Linked DNA regions of Macaca mulatta. The protein of the gene in region 2 interacts with the protein of the main gene of each other region in a pairwise test. Links are inferred from orthologs where the notes say so. Each region holds a gene or a part of one and is shown on either strand. Other genes may lie near its edges. The genes, in order: RHOJ and PAK1.

What was found.
Region 1: the proteins of PAK1 (region 2) and RHOJ interact in binary tests that used the Homo sapiens proteins (3 or more experiments, as listed by UniProt). The link is inferred for Macaca mulatta from reciprocal best matches to the Homo sapiens genes PAK1 and RHOJ.

Annotation. Positions count from the first base shown.
Region 1 is NC_133412.1:136,279,778-136,283,698, reverse strand, and holds the start of RHOJ (rho-related GTP-binding protein RhoJ), read right to left. Parts: upstream 2,728-3,921; 5' UTR 2,318-2,727; coding exon 2,140-2,317; intron 1-2,139.
Region 2 is NC_133419.1:77,744,929-77,748,593, forward strand, and holds part of PAK1 (serine/threonine-protein kinase PAK 1), read right to left. Parts: intron 3,182-3,665; coding exon 3,044-3,181; intron 2,315-3,043; coding exon of another isoform or gene 2,261-2,314; exon of another isoform or gene 2,249-2,260; intron 1-2,248. UniProt on the Homo sapiens protein: Protein kinase involved in intracellular signaling pathways downstream of integrins and receptor-type kinases that plays an important role in cytoskeleton dynamics, in cell adhesion, migration, proliferation, apoptosis, mitosis, and in vesicle-mediated transport processes.

The DNA.
Region 1 (3,921 bases), on a different chromosome or scaffold from region 2:
GGTGGTGCGTGCCTGCAATCCCAGCTACTCGGGAGGCTGAGGCAGGAGAATCGCTTGAACCTGGAAGGTGGAAGTTGCAGTGAGCCAAGATCACGTCACTGTACTCCAGCCTGGGTGACAGAGCAAGACTCTGTCTCAAAAAAAAAAAAAAAAAAAAAAAAAAAAAAAAAAAAAGACGACTTCATTACAGTCCTAGATGTATGTGGCTCATGTCTTCATTCTCTTTTTAACCTTACTGAAAGCACATGAGATGATTACACACTTGAGGTACAAAGTGTACATCAAAGTAACCATGTTTAGGAATGCTTACTATGTGCAAAGTATTGCTCTGAGTATAGTGGCTGTGATTTCTTGGGAGCTAAAATAATAGACTAGCCAAAATCTTTAAGATTCTTTAATGCTCAACAATAGTAAGTATGTACATAATTAAAATATAAAATTATTGGAGCCTAGTGGAATCTAGCTGTGGTTCAGCCTTTGTTTGATTTCTAGTGTGGTTTTTTTTATAGCTGACTTGATTCTCCTTTTTCCTGATACCATACTGTAACTGGCTCCCCGAATACATGGGGATTTGGATACATAATTTTCATAAGCATTTGAAGCCTCTCCCTTTAGATTTTGAGTTCTACCTTTGATTTAAAAGTTTCTGAAATAAGGTAGCCACTTTCCCTTTTTTGGCAGAAAGAAGGTGTAGAATAAATAACTTTTGCTAAGATGCTTTCAGGACAAGAATCTGAGGAACTTTCTCAAGGCGCAGACCCTCAAATTTTATAATTAGTTTTTTTCTCAAGATGAAAGTCAACCTGTTCTTCTCTTTATTCTGTTCTCATTAAAATGTTCTTCTCTGGGCAGAGTCATTATATTTTCAGAAAGGCTTAAGTGAGCCAGCATTAAAATTTGCTCTTAATTTCTACAAATATAGAAAAACCTGCTGGGAGATGGATACTGTATTCACTGTGGTTCTCTCCCTGTCTGCTGTGTAATATTTTCATACATCATATAAGTGTTGGGGGAAGCAGTGACTTAGGTGATGGCTTAGTTCTGGAAAAGAAGCTACTTTCTATAGAAGGAGGATTTCAAATGGCCACATTGCCAAGCAGACACTCATGCTGGTTTCCTGTGGGCCATTTCCCCTTTGCTGAACCTGACCCAAAGCCAAAATGAAGGAGGAGAAATTTTCCATTCACAAGGTCTCAGATCTCTGATAAAGATCGTTATGATTAAAAAGTTATAAAATGTAAGCTACTATAAGCTTGAAAAATTTCATTAACTTGCTTTTGATAAACTTAATAAAATTTGTTTTGGAAATTAAGAGAAAAAGTCAGAATCAAAATGGAAAAATTTAGATAATACTATCACCCAGACAAGTACACCTACAAACTTTAGAACACTCAAAAAATAAAAAGTCCCCAGCAAGTTGTGACTACAGTGTCTTAACTGCCATGCTTTAAAATATTTTATGTGCATTTTGTCCTTTCAGGACATACTTTAAAATAATTCAGATTTTATTTGTATTTTTACTTTTAAAAACATGTTAATTAAACATTTTTCTTTTAAGATACAGATTGCCTAATACATATTTAGAACCTTTTAAAAACTCTCCCCCAATCTACAACCCCAGGAAAATAAAACTATAGTATTACAGCACCAACTGTTTTAGAAAAAATGAATGTTTTCTTAATCTTAGCATTTTCATTTGTAAATGGCATGAGGTGAATACGCAAAGAGCGGCAAGAACAATCCTTTTACCATTTGTGTGTCTAGTGGTGGTTCTTTTTTTGGCAGAAAAGAATTGTGATGCAATTACACTGCATTTAAAAATGTTCATAGTAAAACTTTAATGAATCTTAAGGCAAATGTTGAGTAAAATCTCTGTCCCCCAAATCTAGAAGGCACGTCAGAGTATTTTCCTGCCGTTACCCATTCGCTTTAAGGGAGAAAAAGTGTTACCATACAAATTGATGCACAAATTGTTCTACCAACAGTCAAGTCCTGGGTTGTACACTATGCTAAACTCCCTGGTTACTGCCAGGCCCGCACCCAATACTGACATTAGAAATGAGCCAGGCCCCTCTGAACTTAAGGTATCGCCTCCTGCATCGTTTATCTGGATGCAGAGAGTTTCCCACTTTTTCTTACCTGCATAGTGGTCAAACACAGTGGGCACGTATTCCTCTGGGAAGGCATCGTTGGCGTAGCTCATCAGCAGGCAGGTTTTCCCCACGGCACCGTCCCCCACCACTACACACTTCAACATCTTCTTCTCGTCGTTGCCCCTGCAGCCGCAGCTGCCGTCAGTTCCCTCTTTGCAGTTCATTCTTGCGGCTCCAGCTGCTGGGGACTCCTGCTGCTGCTGTTGCTTCTCCTGCTTCTTCCAAAGCACATGAAGCGGCGGAAAGCCAGTGCCAGGCTTGAATTTACTCTGTCTGACTTTGGGTACCTTGGATCATACAGACATGTCCGAGGCTGGGATATGCCCTGTTGCTTACCATGCTGGTAAAGAAAGGTAACACACACTTGGGGGAGTTATGAAAAGGGTCTGCCCCTTTCCGTTCTCAGTGTGAGTTAAGAAACCCTTATTTTCACAGAATTTGAGGGGCTTCCTCACAGCCTAGAAATTTCAGCAGCCTGAGGGTTTTACTCTGCTCTCCCTGTCTCCAGCCTGGCAAAAGACACGGTGGAATTTTGCTAAATCTTTCTCATTTTCCAAGTCACATCTAACATGGAGGAAAGCTGGGCTTTTTAATGGAGTTTTTTCCCCTTGCTTCCTCCAGCTTGCCGAGTGTCAGGAAATCATGGGTTTCCTGCTGCATTCCATATTAGGATCAGTGGGCTGAGGAAGGCTGCAACAATGGGAGCTCTGTGTGTGTGTGTGTTTGTACTTCTGGGGAACGATGCCAGGACATGGAGTGGGAAAACACTAGGGGTCCCACTGCAGACTCAAGCTGTCAGACTTCCTGTTTCATCCGCTGCTTGTGAGGCTGTTCGCTTATGGCTGGCTGGGAAGAAGCTGACTAGAGGATGGAAACCGGGGATTACTGCCTGCCACAGAAACAGGGGGAATGGTTAGAATGAGCAGAGAGAACCACACCAGCAGTCCTAGGATAACATATGACATCACTCTTCACTGAGTCACTAGTTAAAAGCTCTTCAAACTAAAAACGAGCAGTTCTTTACTTACTTAAATGAGAAACTTGAAGCGATTCTTCCCAGAAATAAAGAAGAAAACCTTCTAGAGTCACATCATTTCAAAGAGAAAAATGTTTGTAAGTTGTAGGTGTAACATGCATGATCAGGTTTATAAACTGCCACATGTCTGGAATATGTATTCCAGACACAAACTTATTTTTATGATGGTAGCACATAAGAAATCAATCACATGTGGGATGTTTGCATTCTCTTATATAGTGGATGAACACACACGTGCTTGGCTCATACATAACACCCTTGGACACGAGAGGGTATAGGATGGCTTTTTGGTTTGTTTAAGGCCCTCGATGTTGTTTTTACTTGGATGTTTTGCTTTTTGATTTAGTCTTCTCCCCTTGGGTCAGACTGGTCCTCTTCAATTACAAAGGAGCCATGGGCAGCTAATTTATTTGTCTGTTCCGTCACTCAAAATGAAGCCCCTTTGAAGCTCTGTATTTGATTAATGTGCTTGGTCTTAGAAAAGAAGTGGAAGTCTGCAAATGATTTTTGACAAATGGGTCAAAATGAGGGAACTCTGTTTTTTTCACTTTCAGTTTTCGAACATTGATTTTGAAGAATTCAGATTATCCAATTGTTTGAGAAGTTTTTTGTCTTTGTTTTTTTTGGTGAGGGGTGAGATGGGAGAAAAGTCTGTTATAGATATACCCACATATCATCTATATGCTGCCATATAGTAGGTATAGTCTTAAGTTTCTTCTGTTTGGGATTATA
Region 2 (3,665 bases):
CACACACACACACACAAAGAGAGGGAAACATATATACAATATTCTTTGCTGAGAATTTTTTCAACTTCTGTTGGGACAGAGATAGTATAAAGAGCTACTGAGAACAAGAAGGTACTATTACTATGAAAGGAATAAAAGATCCTAGCTAAATCATGAAGATAGGAATTCCAATATATATCATCCTATGTATTTCTGTCCATAAGTGTGTTCTCACAGGAGAAACAGATGTGAAGCTTTTATGATTTACGATTCTCAAAGTCATGGTTTTCAATATTTACAATGTACACGAACAAGTTAAAAAGCCAGCTTTCTCAGATCACATGTTTCTACAATTCCCCTAAGTTGAGAGCAGCATGATCCAACACCGAACTGGAAGGCCTCAGTTTCCTTCTCTGTCTAATAAACAAAACAGACTAGATGAGCCCTAAGGGCTTTCCAGTTGTGATACTCTTTGAGCCTGTAAGAGCAGTGGCCAAGAGCATACACACTTCGGAGCCAAACAGGCTGAAATCCTGGATCTGCCACATATCAGCTATCATGGAAAAGTTACTAAATACTTGAAACCTCAGTTTCCTCATCTGTAAAAATGAGAATAACAGAACCTATAACTCATAGAGTTGTTGTGAAGGACAATATATAAAGTGCTTATTAGTGCCTAAATATATAAAGTGTTTAGTGCCTAAAATATGGTAAAGATTCAATATAATGCATTTATTACTAGTTATATTACTGTATCAGGAAGAAAACTTTAGAGGGCACTAACCTTTCAAGAACTATAGTTTGGTACTTAATTAAGAATGGTATCTTTACTAATCATAGGCTTAGCATATCGTATTTACACATTTCCCAGTGCCTACAGTTTGCAGAATACAACTCTCATGAACAGCAAAAGGGGTCCTACATTGTACTAAGAGACTTTTAGTCCCAACAGATACTAGAGACTAATGGGTTACACTTGGCAGAACCCAGATCTCATATCTAATAGGCCAGTACTCCATAATCAGTAACCTCAATTACAAAGAGATGATAAATATGTTCCAGAGGATGATATTCCAATGTAGGTTCTTCCAGCAATTTCATTCAATTCAATAAATATTTTTTGAGTACCTATCCTAAGTCAGGTTCTAGGTAAAACAAGAAACTCAGGGATTAATAAAATAGAGGTTATAATCCAGTAGGAAAGATTCATAATTAACACAGGGCAGTATGCTAGGTCCTGCCCTGCCCTGCCCTGCTCTGTCACTCCTGGGCTTTATAATACGAAAATAAATGACAGTGCATGCCTTCATAAAGTTGCACATGATACTTACTATTAAATCACTAGTGGGCAATACAATAAAAGAACACTTGTTATAAGAAATTGTACTGGAAACAAATATGTTAAATACAAATGACGTGGCCTGCTAAAGGCAATTTTTTCAACCATGTAAAATTATCAGGATTAGGGGGGTGGGAGTATAAAAGGCCTGGTAAACCCCTGACTCCGGGTTTCTCCACAAACTGGCAAAATCTCACTCTCAACAAGTAGAGTATCATTGCCATTATCTGAGGATTTCCAGTGAAGAAAGTATAGACTCCAAAAGCCATACTCACTAATTATCTTCTAAACTTATGTTCCATGGATGGGCATGGTGGCTCATGCCATGCCTGTAATTCCACACTTTGGGAGGCTATAGCGGGCAGATCGTTTGAGCCCAGCCTGAGCAACATGGCAAAACCCTGTCTTTACAGAAAATATAAAAATTAGGCAGGTATGGTGGTGCACGCTTGTAGTCCCACCTACTCTGGAGGCTAAAGTGGGAGGATCAGCAGAACCTGGGGAGGCTGGGGCTGCAGTGAGCCATGACTGCACCACTGCACTCCAGCCTGGGCAACAGACAGAGATCCTGTCTCAAAAAATAAAACATAAATAAAATAAAATAAACGTATGTTCCTTTGCTAAAAATGTATCCTTTGAGCTAATCCCAGCAAAAATATAACTTGCGTAAGATTTGGATGTCAGAGAGCCATTTCTCAACAAGACTCAAACAAACTCTGCCAGACTAATTCAAACAGAACAAAGGATGTGCTAATGAAAGATACAAGCAGGCCGGGCATGGTGGCTCATAACTGTAGTCCCAGCACTTTGGGAAACCGAGGTGGTCACATCGCTTGAACCCAGGAATTTGAGACCAGCCTAGCTAACACAGCAAAACCGCGTCTCTACAAAAAACTTTTTAAAAAATTAGCCCGGTATGGTGGCATGTACCTGTAGTCCCAGCTACTTGGGAGGCTGAGGTGGGAAGATCACTTGAGTGAACCCAGGAGAGGAAAACTGCAGTGAGACAAAATCACACCATTGTACACTCCTGCCCGGGTGACAGAGTGAGACCCTGTGGGGAGGTGAGAGTAAGGGAGGGGGGAAGGGAAAGGGGAGGGGGAGGGGGAGGGAGAGGGAGAGGAAAGGAAAGGAAAGGAAAGGAAAGGAAAGGAAAGGAAAGGAAAGGAAAGGAAAGGAAAGGAAAGGAAAGGAAAGGAAAGGAAGGAAGGAAGGAAAGGGAAAGGAAGGAAAAGGAAAGAAAAGAAAGGGAAAGGAAGAAGAAAAGAAAGAAAGGAAAGAAAGGAAAGGAAAAGGAAGGAGGGAGGAAGGGAGGAAGGGAGGAAGGGAGGGAGGGAGGAAGGGAGGATGGGAGGGAGGGAGGGAGGGAGCGAGGGAGGGAGGGAGGAAGGAAGGAAGGAAGGAAGGAAGGAAGGAAGGAAGGAAGGAAGGAAGGAAGGAAGGAAGCAAGCTACAAGCAAAGCTCAATAGGTGCTCAGAAAATGATTGTAAACTGAGCCTAGGAGAATGTGTAGAGTTTTAACAGGCCAAGAAAGAGGCTAAGAAAATAAATAAGCAAAGCCCCAGGGATAAAAGTTAGAGCAGTAGGAACAGAGTGAGGGTAGGAAATGGTAAAAGAGAAGCCTAGTTCTATAATATCCAGTACCTTACAGACAAACATGAAGTAAAAAAGGCCTGGTTTAGTGATTCCCTGAATTAGGTGCTTCCCTGCACAGGGACAGTTACCTGCAGCAGCTCTTTAGCTGAACCTCTCTTCTCCACATCCATCTCAAGACAGCGGTTCAGAAAGTCCCGGAAGATAGCTGACAGCTTCTCTGGGTTCTGAAGTTCTGGGGTCCCATTGGTGGCAATGAGGTACAAGGCCTGGCAATAAAAATGGTGAATCACCTTGAACTCCAACTGAGGCTCTCTCTTGTTCTCCATATACACATTCTAGAAATATGGTCAGCTGCTTTATGCTCTAGGATGCAAAGTAGCAGCTGTGTATATATACTGGAAAGAGTATGACCTAAGGATCAGGCTGAACATTTAAAGGCCATGAGACTATGTGCAACTTCCCTATCTGTAAAGTAAGGATGATGATAATGCCCATCTCACATATCTGTAAAAATAAGATAGTGTATTTGAAAGTACTTTGTAAACTTACGAAATATGTTACAGACCTAAGGGTTTATTATTATTATTATTATTATTTTTTTTTTTTTTTTGAGACAGAGTCTCGCTCTGTCGCCCAGGCTGGAGTGTAGTGGCAAGATCTTGGCTCACTGTAACCTCCACCTCCTGGCTTCAAGCGATTCTCCTGCCTCAGCCTCGCAAGTAGCTGGGATTACAGGTGCCCACCACTACA